3 linked regions of the Saccharomyces cerevisiae S288C genome follow. The protein of the gene in region 2 interacts with the protein of the main gene of each other region in a biochemical or structural test. Each region holds a gene or a part of one and is shown on either strand. Other genes may lie near its edges. The genes, in order: MEI5, RFA2 and IME2.

Evidence for each region.
Region 1: the proteins of RFA2 (region 2) and MEI5 form a complex in vitro, tested with the Saccharomyces cerevisiae proteins (one study listed by BioGRID).
Region 3: of the proteins of RFA2 (region 2) and IME2, one has a biochemical effect on the other in vitro, tested with the Saccharomyces cerevisiae proteins (2 studies listed by BioGRID).

Annotation. Positions count from the first base shown.
Region 1 is NC_001148.4:320,301-323,454, forward strand, and holds MEI5 (Mei5p), read right to left. Parts: upstream 1,331-3,154; coding exon 662-1,330; downstream 1-661. Other genes in the region: TFIIH/NER complex subunit TFB2, read right to left, coding at 1-467; VPS30 (beclin 1), read left to right, coding at 1,771-3,154. UniProt on the Saccharomyces cerevisiae protein: Involved in meiotic DNA-break repair. Required for the recruitment of DCM1 to meiosis recombination hot spots.
Region 2 is NC_001146.8:46,645-49,775, reverse strand, and holds RFA2 (Rfa2p), read right to left. Parts: upstream 1,490-3,131; coding exon 1,483-1,489; intron 1,375-1,482; coding exon 560-1,374; downstream 1-559. Other genes in the region: putative SCF ubiquitin ligase complex subunit SKP2, read left to right, coding at 1-379; tetratricopeptide repeat-containing protein EMW1, read left to right, coding at 1,754-3,131. UniProt on the Saccharomyces cerevisiae protein: Binds to single-stranded sequences participating in DNA replication in addition to those mediating transcriptional repression (URS1) and activation (CAR1). Stimulates the activity of a cognate strand exchange protein (SEP1).
Region 3 is NC_001142.9:219,835-223,944, reverse strand, and holds IME2 (protein kinase IME2), read right to left. Parts: upstream 2,556-4,110; coding exon 618-2,555; downstream 1-617. Other genes in the region: YJL107C (uncharacterized protein), read left to right, coding at 3,929-4,110. UniProt on the Saccharomyces cerevisiae protein: Protein kinase which is essential for the initiation of meiosis and sporulation.

The sequences.
Region 1 (3,154 bases), on a different chromosome or scaffold from region 2:
GCGAGGGGAGTGCCAACCATGAAATGTAATATTGTTTCCCATTTATTAGCTGAATATTCATCCAACAAGTCCAGGCTAACTACGTTTTCCTCTACAACCACACCGAATGAGTTTTGAACTTCCCCACCCGTTAATGCGTTCCTCAGGCTGATTTTGAATGTTGGGTTTAGGTTGATCATCAAAGTACCAGATGATTTATTTGGTATAAGAAGATGCAAAGACTTCATCGATTTGATTGCATTCTGAAACTGCAATTTACCATTAGAGTTAACCCATTTATCTAAATCCAACAAAGGTACTTCATTTTCGTTGAAAACCATTGCCATGATAAAAAATTTAGCTAGTGGTGGTAAAATTCTATAGATAGCCAGACATGTAGCTGGTGAGGTATAAAGCCTATTTTGAACTTGTTGAGGAATTTCTTCCAAATACTGAGTGACCGAATGCTTCAGGGAATAGTCACTCATTATATTGTTCACTTCTTCCCTTTGATGGTGGCTTTTAATGCTAAGTTACTAGTATTGTATTCTGACGATGAAGTTAGGTTATATGTGAATATATGATGGTGCGTAATTTGCGCTACAACAAAAAAATACATTCGTTTTTTCAGTAATCGCGTACCTAATAGAAATGCAAGATGAATAAACGTTTTACGCATTTTTCATTGTGGAAAGATTAAGCTGTAGTCAAGTTTTAACCTAGTGCATAGTTCAGCCATTCCAAAATCTTTCCCTTCGCTATCATGCAGCACCTTATTCAATTTTTCCAGCTCCGCTATTTTTTTTTTTTCCAACTCTTTCAGCTGTTCATTCATTTGACTCTCCCACTCTTGTTTCTCAACTTCTGAAAGTTGTCTAAAGTCATCACTTTCCTTTATTTCACAGATTTGATCTTCCATACCGTTGTCAATCTGATATTCCAATCTTCTCTTTTTAGCCTCCATTTCTTTTTCTAGAAAATCTTTATAGCCGCCCATTCTATTGATTTTGATTAAAGTGGAATTTAAAATAAAAGACAGTTCCATCTCACAAATTGTCCTCCATTTTTCTATGGATTTTCTGTTCTCAATGATCTTGTTTTCGCTGAGAATTTTACAAGCCTGCTGTAAGTGATTATTTTCTTGCCTGAGAAGAGTAAGTTGTTTCGTTAACTCCCTATTTTTTATCGCAATTTCCTTCTGGTTCGTAGGCTTCTTCAAGTCCTTAATACCGCTTTTACCGACCCGATAGTTATTAGTGTCCTTTTTTGTATAAGAATGGTTGATGCAAGTATTTTCTTCTTCGTTCACCAAAGTTTTGTCCTTGTCTAGCCACTCTTCCTGATTGTGCATTACTATTAGATAACTGTAATTTGGTGCTTTTCCTGGAAAGTATACTTGTGATGTGGAAGTATTTTAAGTTCAAGTTTCTTGTTTTCTTTCCTATTTATGCGGAAGGTACATAGAAGTTTGGGCGGCTAATACTTTTTCCGCGGCTAATCCTATAGTAAAATGATCACTTTCATATAGAAAGTTGGTATATAAAGTGTCAACTAAGAGAGAAATAGTTCGAACCAGGTGTATTTTAAATCAACTATCGGGAAGTATGGACTGGTGGTATAATCGAATTACATAGTCCTTTTACCTTCATTAGTAGTACTTAAGTGTCACCCGCCTGGGGATTTTGCTCTCATAGAAGTAAAAGGGTAGTGCTATGGGAGCACATTAGGTAGTTCAGTTACGTTTTATGGCAGTCACTGTTTTCGCAAAGACTCCCAGACACGGGCATTAAAATGAAGTGCCAAACATGTCACTTACCCCTGCAACTAGACCCATCTTTAGAAGGTCTTAGTTTAACCCAAAGAAATTTGCTACTTTCAAATAATTCAATTATCACTGCAACGAATGAAAATGTCATCAGCAACAAGGGCATCGAAGCCGCAGATAATTGTGGGCCTCAAATACCGAAGGAGAGGCTGAGGCGATTAGGGGAGATTCAGAACATAAAAGACTTGAATTTAAAAGATGATAAATTAATCACTGATTCGTTTGTTTTTCTTAATCACGATGATGATGATAATGCTAATATTACGAGTAATAGCAGAGAGGACCAGCGTTATGGAAATGCCAACGGAAATGATAATAAAAAAGCTAATAGTGATACTTCCGATGGAACCAGTACCTTTCGAGATCATGACGAAGAGGAACAAGAAGCTACGGATGAGGACGAAAACCAACAAATACAATTGAATTCCAAGACTTTGTCCACACAAGTCAACGCAATGACTAATGTATTTAACATTCTATCTTCTCAAACAAACATAGACTTTCCTATCTGTCAGGACTGCTGTAACATCTTGATAAACAGACTAAAAAGTGAGTATGATGATGCAATAAAAGAGAGAGATACTTACGCTCAATTTTTATCGAAGTTAGAGAGTCAAAACAAAGAAATATCAGAAAGCAATAAAGAAAAGCAGTATTCCCATAATCTTTCGGAAAAAGAAAATTTGAAAAAGGAAGAGGAAAGACTCTTGGATCAATTATTACGTTTGGAAATGACAGATGATGACTTAGATGGAGAACTAGTTCGTTTACAAGAAAAGAAAGTTCAACTGGAAAATGAGAAACTCCAAAAACTGAGTGATCAGAATTTAATGGATTTAAATAACATTCAATTCAACAAAAATTTACAGTCATTAAAACTGCAATACGAATTATCCTTGAATCAATTAGATAAGTTGAGGAAAATCAATATTTTCAATGCTACATTCAAAATCTCACATAGCGGCCCCTTTGCCACTATAAATGGATTGAGATTAGGCAGTATACCAGAATCAGTGGTACCTTGGAAGGAAATCAATGCAGCACTGGGCCAATTGATTCTTTTACTGGCTACCATAAACAAAAACCTGAAGATAAATTTAGTAGACTACGAATTACAACCGATGGGTTCATTTTCCAAAATCAAGAAAAGAATGGTTAACAGTGTCGAATATAATAATTCCACTACGAACGCTCCCGGTGATTGGTTGATTCTGCCTGTCTACTATGATGAGAATTTCAATTTGGGGAGAATCTTCCGCAAGGAAACGAAGTTTGATAAATCATTAGAAACAACATTAGAAATAATAAGCGAAATCACTCGGCAGCTTTCTACGATAGCGTCATCATATT
Region 2 (3,131 bases):
TCACCACACTTACTATTGGAACAACTCTGTAAGGCGTTGCCTAAGAGATAGTTTAATCAAATTGAAGAACCGAACCATCGAATATAGAGATTTAGATGTGGAGGAGTTCTTACAAAATGTGACATTGGAAAATTTTTTCAATGATTTCCAAGATCCAGAGAATTTTAAAGATATTCCAAATATTAACCTCTGGTGTTTCCTGAGAAATTTGTCAAAATTCAAAGCTGTCAAAATAAGAATGCTGAGACATTTTTCATTATGTACACCTAGAACCAGATACGACTGGGAACTATTATTGAAGCCCGTACTGCGTGTAAATGTTCCCATTGAAGTCAGAGATAAGGACGGATTCGTTCTTTATTCTTACGGGCAAAAATAAATGACTTTTTGTAGTGGACTTTATATAGCATATTTATGCAACCAACTTAATATTCATGCATCTTACCCCTTCTTGGAACGGGTTCCATTTTCCACTCTATTTCCGGCAAATTTTGGTACTTACCTAGTAGAAATACACAAACGAATACTAAGAAATGCTAAAAAAATAATCTATATATTTTCATAGGGCAAAGAAGTTATTGTCATCAAAAGTTGGGTAGATAAAACCCTGGTCAGTCAAGGTCGTACAGCAGTTTCTGACGGTAGTTTCATCCAAATTCAAGGATTGCGAGATCAATGGAATGGGAACAGCGAATGAATTAGCGTCTTTGCCCTCACATTGCTTCTTACAAAATTCTAGAATTCTTTGTAACGGACTGGAGCCGGAAGATGTATCGTTATCATCCTTGACAAATAATGATTGCCCATTGTTGTTGGATGCACTCTCCAAAGGTTGTTTCATCATTCCACTGGCTATGGAATGACATTTGATGACTTCCAAGTGATGCGTCAACACTTCATTGAATGAATCTATGGGCTTAATCACCGCATACTGTATATTTTTCTTACCACCAAACTCTTTCAAAGCACCAAAAACTTTTACGTAACCGCCAATTTCAAATTGTTGGGCGACTTGCGAACCATAACCTTTACCAGAAGAGTCATCGTTACCGGCAGCCAAGTCATTTGCATCTTCGCTCCATTTTCTCACTTCTATTTGACCAGTTCCATCCTCAATAGTTAAAAAAATATTTGCAGTATGGTCTGTAATGTTTCTCACCACACCTACAAAACAAACGTGATGAAGTTCTTGGTTATGCGAAACGAAGGGGCCGTCCTGAATATCCTGTTTGGACTCTAGAATTTGTTTGATCGTCACAGGTGTCAAGGTGTTAACTCTAGTGTTAGTTTCCGACTCCCCACTACCTGGGCGGGACTCAGAGTTCTCAAAGCCACCGCCCGTTACTGATGAATATTCGTTATATGGTTGATAGGCTGTATTGGAATCCCATCCATTGTTAGTAATTTTAACATTCGCCAATAAAAATAAAAAAAATGATGCAGAAAAGAGCAAATCCTCCAATTCCTAGCACTAATACATACTTGCCATTATGTATATGCTTAAACTAGCCTGTTCTAGATAGTCGCTATCGATTTTGCCACATTACTTCCACCTTAAGTTGATATAATATTGCTTATTATAAAGGAAAGAACGCGTTTCCTAACGCGTTTCGTATATGGCGATAATTATCTAAGAAACTTCGCATCGTGAAAAAAAAGATGAAAATTGAAAATGGAAGCTCATCGAGGCCAAAGGAATTGCTAAAAAGAAGCTATCAGACCAGGCAAAAAGTAAACTAGTGGTTGCAAAATTATGGAGACGTTATTGCATGCAAAATTATTGCTGTCTGCAGAAGTAGAATCTCTGAAAAGTGGTTCTTTCGACCAGACATATGTGAAAAAGGCTGAACATATCATCAGTGGTGAATCATACCAGCTAGTACAGCAATTTGTGGACAAATTTAAGGGAAAAATTAGTATTTCGGGAGAAATATCCACATCTAGTGTTATTGCTGCTCTAAATGACTTTCTTAACGTTGAGGTTTTCAAAATGGGCCAAGAAAATGAGATGCTATTTTTGGCTATTGCCCTCTTACAGACCTTTATTCAAAATAACTACACCGGCCCAGCAGCTAGGTTGAAAGCAATCTCAGGTTTGTTTGGCAAAACTGGAATTGAAATAGGAGCAGTTAATACAGCCCTTTCCCGCTCATTAGCCATTATGGGCCAGCCTGCCTACGAATTTATGGATGATCCATTGTATTTGGTTTTATCACTATTATTACTTGAAAGGATAACCGGCCAAAAAAGCTTATTTGATGTTACCCCGGATCAAGAAATTCCGCTACCTATTATCTCTGCTGAGTCTACTCCTGGATTATTAGCTGTAGCTTATTGGTGGTGGGCAAGAGCTCTTTTGACGCAATTGTCACTGATTCCAGAACCTTCTGGGTTCCAAGCTAGTGTTGCATCTGCAATATATCAGTCTGCTGACCTTGCATATGCGATAACTAAGGAATTACCGGAGAGTATTCACGAAGATTTCAAAAGAGAACTTTGTGCAATGTACTATCTAGAGAATGTCAAATGTTCATTGGCCATCAACACAGAACATTTGTGCCTGCCATCCTTGACCAGAGCGAAAAAGATAACAAATTTTGAATTTGTAATGACGGGTGCACGCGCTACTAGAACTAAATATCAGCAAAAGGCTCATGCCGGTTTGATCATTCTTGCCAAATCCTTCACATTTCAAAATTTTGCTTTGAGAACGACATCTGCTACACCAGAAACATTTGCTTTAGAGTCCGATCTATTATTGGAGAAGCCTCATTTTGAGTCCATTGCTGATGAACCTCTAGACGAGCAAATTTATAGTAAAAGACAAAAGGTAGACCTAAATGAAGGTTATGAAGAAGATAAACTATTGCCATTGGCACTACGTCAAGAAAATATTCCAAAGTTGTTGCTGGATTTGAACCCTAACGATCAACCTACCCTATCTGATTACGACAACATCCAGTTGCTGTTACGTCTTTACACCATAAAGAACACAACTCCGGCCAAGGATCCTCTTGTGGAAGAAGAACTTACTGCTTTGCTTTCTAGAATATTATATCAAAACGGTGACAAAAATTGGTCTATTTTCGCCCGATCATTATGGGAAAGGTCAATTATTGAGACAACAAAGG
Region 3 (4,110 bases), on a different chromosome or scaffold from region 2:
ATCTCTCCTTCCTTGCATATAGGCCAGATTTTTCCTTGGATTGTGCTGTATTACTATTGGCTCCAAGGAACCTCACAGTGAGCTTTTCCAAACCGAAAGATTTCTCTTGCGATTTCTTCGTATGCAGTAATAGGGTTTTTTGAGAATATACCGGGCATAATGTTGCAGTTATCAACTATCGCACATACAGTAGTAACAGTTCTGGTTGTCCTAGCATTAATGCCGTTTTAATTTTCTGCAGAGTATTGCCTGTGGACAACAGTAACTTATACGAATAAACATACCAAGTTAGGATCTGAGCCGGGTAACCGAACACAAAGATCTCGTTCTACTTTTTTTGACCTCTTGATGAGTTGCTTAACAAAATCAGTAGCCGCCAAGAGCAAGAAATCATAAAATGTTCAAGAAAAACAAACATAAAAATATATTGGAGGGGAATAAACGCAAAGTAATGTCTAATAAGTTAAATTAAAGCCATCGAAAAAGCACTGTATTAATAGAGCAGTAGCTATTTAGGTGAATGCATAGTAATATAATATATATGCGAACATATGTATGTCTATGTGTATATAACTATATAACTGTGCCTAACGATTCGTCAGTCAAATGACAAATTATTAGAAGGTTACATTTCCAAAATGTTGGTTTGAATTGGATAGATGAGGCTCGAACTTTTCCCGTGATTTTTTTAATGTAGGTATCAAGAAATTTCTTGGAGTAAAATCTGGCATTGAATTAAACGAATCGCCTAAAGAGGCATCACCCAAAACATTATCACCTCTATGATGTGACCTATCTGTATGTGTGTAATTTGAGTTGTTCACATATGGTAGAACGATGTCTTCATCAATATCTGCATGTTCATTAAATGGTTGTTTTCTCTGAAACTCATCCTTTTCAGGAATTTCCAGGTCAAAAAATAGCTGTTCCATGTTGTCTGCTTCATCTTTATTTATAATTTCAATATCATTTGTCAACTGCCTAATATTCGATAATGAATGATCTAAGACTTCTTCATCTGGTAGTTGACAAAGGGCCAAATTATTACGAATTTCTTTTGATAATTCAGTCTCATCAATAGAATCTGAAATGGTAGAATCTGTTCCAACATCAGGTATTGAGTGATCATCATTATCTTCTTCAACGAATTCGTTTAAAAATTCTACCAAAGTTAGTTTTTCTTGATTTAATGTTGGTGAGCACATAGCATGAGAATCGTGATCGTTGTTGCTGATATCAATATCATTAGACTCTGTTTCTGCGGGCAATTTTGTTGAAGAGTTAAAATATATGGGCTTTGTGTTGGTCGCTACTGGATTTATACCTGCAAAAATCAATGCTTGTTCTGTATTAGTCACATTGCCTCTTGCGTCTACTTGGGATGCCACGGTGTTTTCAAAAAATGGCATTTCACAAAGCTCTTGGGCTGTTGCCCTTTCATTAGGATCCCATCTTAAACACTTTTTGACAACCTCAGATAAATCGGATAGTTGGGAGCTAGAAAGTAGATGATCCAACGATGAACCTTCTACATAAGGCAATTTCAAGTTTAATTTATGGACCAAATTACTGGCATCATCCCAAAATCCACCAGGTGGTGGAGCTGTGATGTGGTTTGTATTAACAAAATCAGAACGTTTGATAGGTGTACCAAGAACTTCTAAAATTTTCCATATCTGATCGATTTCGTTAGCACCGGGGAAGAGAGCTCTGAATACAGTAACTTCCACCGCCACGCACCCGAATGCCCAAATATCCAAAGGTTTGGAATAGTAACCACTTCTTAATAATATTTCAGGCGATCTATACCATCTTGTGGAAACGTAGGCCGTATACGGGTTTTTATTTTCAACATGGCGTGCCAAACCAAAATCTGCAAGTTTAATGACATAGTTATCTTGATATCCAATCTGGTTCATGTACTCCTTTTCAAAATACTGGGTACTTGGTGTGATAAGAATATTTTCAGGTTTTAAATCTCTGTGGAAGAAATTATGTTCGTGGATGTGTTTTAACCCAGCCAGTATCTGCGATAGAATAGATTTCAAAGAAGGAATCGAAAAAACTCGGCGCCTTCTATGTTTCATCATTTGATATAGGTTTTGCTCCATACATTCCATTACGATATGTAATTGGTAATTTTCAGAGTCAATAAAGACCTCAAAAATTTGTATCAGATGGTCATTCGCTGGGATTGCCAGTATGAACTTAATTTCTCTGACCCTCGTATAATCCTGGAGTGTATGCAGTTTTGTCATCATTGTCTTTATAGCCACTACACCTTGTGTCTTTGTTATATAGTTTTGGTGACCATTTTTAGGCTGATCCATTAAAGTACCCCTTATATCATGTTGTTTACCCAATATGTTCGATAAAGGAAATTGCGCTTTGGCTAAAGTTACACAACCAAATGATCCTGCACCTAGTTTTTCGATCAGCTGATATCTGTCTGATAAAGTCTTCAAAGGGATAGAAAGTGGCGGGTTATCGACATCAGGTGGAACACTGAACTCTGAGCCACTACTGGAACTCTGTCTACTACGTTTTTCAACCATAAATGACCTATTAAGTTAAGCTTAGTACTCTTCTTTTATTACGTCTGTATCACGTTCCTTTTCAATGAATATTTAAGAACACGATTAACTTTTCTGATAAGCCTGGTAAATAAATACAGGTTTATATTCTCTAGACAGCCACCTTAACCGACTGGAGTGTCCTTTATATCTTTACCCAAAAAATAAAACTTTTAGGAGAAGGGGTAACAAACTGAAAAGGGAAAGGGTAAAGTAAAGGTAACTGTAAACTATTTTGAAAGATAGATCTTGTAACTTCTTTCTCGTTGAGTGATATTGGAAAATAAAAATGAAATGAATGTGTGAAGACAGAAGAAGTTATTCAGGAAAAGAAAATGGACAGACCGGTGAGTTGCTACCTTAATATATCTATTTGATTACACACATTACTTCTTTACCTCTTTGCAACCAGCACTTGTCTGTGGCTTTTTGCCGCCGAAGTCTCGCGCCTTTTCCCTGTTGAATTGCATTTAAGACACAAGGCTGACATTTATTAATGATAGAGATTTCCACAAAAACTCAAATAGCCGCCGTAACATAAATTATTGGACAACCGGAGAAAAGGATATTTTAAGGCACCAGCGGGTAATACATCTTTATTTCTCCAAGTTTAAAAAGCGTATTTGGAAAAGCTGTGCCACTCAGATTTTTGTGAGAGTTTTCTTTTTCTACTTACCATGAGTGCGGAGTCTTGGTGAAACAGCTACTGAGAGAATAGGTATCTGGGTTACCAGTGTAGTTAGCTACAACATGTTCGAAATGCATGGTAGAGTCTGGGTTTCGTTCCCTTTGGCTTGTTAAGGCCGAAGATTGCTTTGGTCTGGATGGGCGGAGCCCAAATTTTATTGTTGAACTATTTTTAGATTAAGAAAAACAGCGCCAAATTTTACCCGGCTTATGGCTCCTCCCTTGGTACTCCCATTTTTATGACGTAGCAGTTGTCCCGCTTGTTTCAACTCCTCGAGAAAAGTGGGGCATTGGGTTTATCTGTCACAGTACCACCAGCACGCCGAATGGACCCTCTTTGTCTTAGCCCGACGTCTCCGTAATCAGCGCGCCATTCGTGTTTCTAGTGTCCTTTGACTATTTTCATCCGAAAAATATCGAAGCAAAGCCATCGCCAAAAATTGCGAACCCAATATGACGAAATTCGGAAGAATCTTGAAAAAGAAATAAACCGAATTGCATATTAATATATAACTATGTTTTACGTTTGTTTTAAGCCTACTATATCTGAGAACGTAGCTAAATAAATCTTATATAACACTTACTTACTTACTTAGCGGTGTGCGACTTTTATCTTTTAGATATAGAATAACAAAAGAAAAAAGATCGAATAACCGATAGGCTATACAATGGACGGTAGAAATGAAAAACCAACCACTCCTGTGTCAGATTTTCGGGTGGGAAGCTCCGAGCAAAGTCAAGCGGGAGTGAATCTTGAAGATAGTAGTGACCATCGCACTTCCAATTCAGCCGAGAGCAAAAAAGGCAATTTAAGTGGTAAAAGCATCAGTGATCTAGGTATTTCTAATAA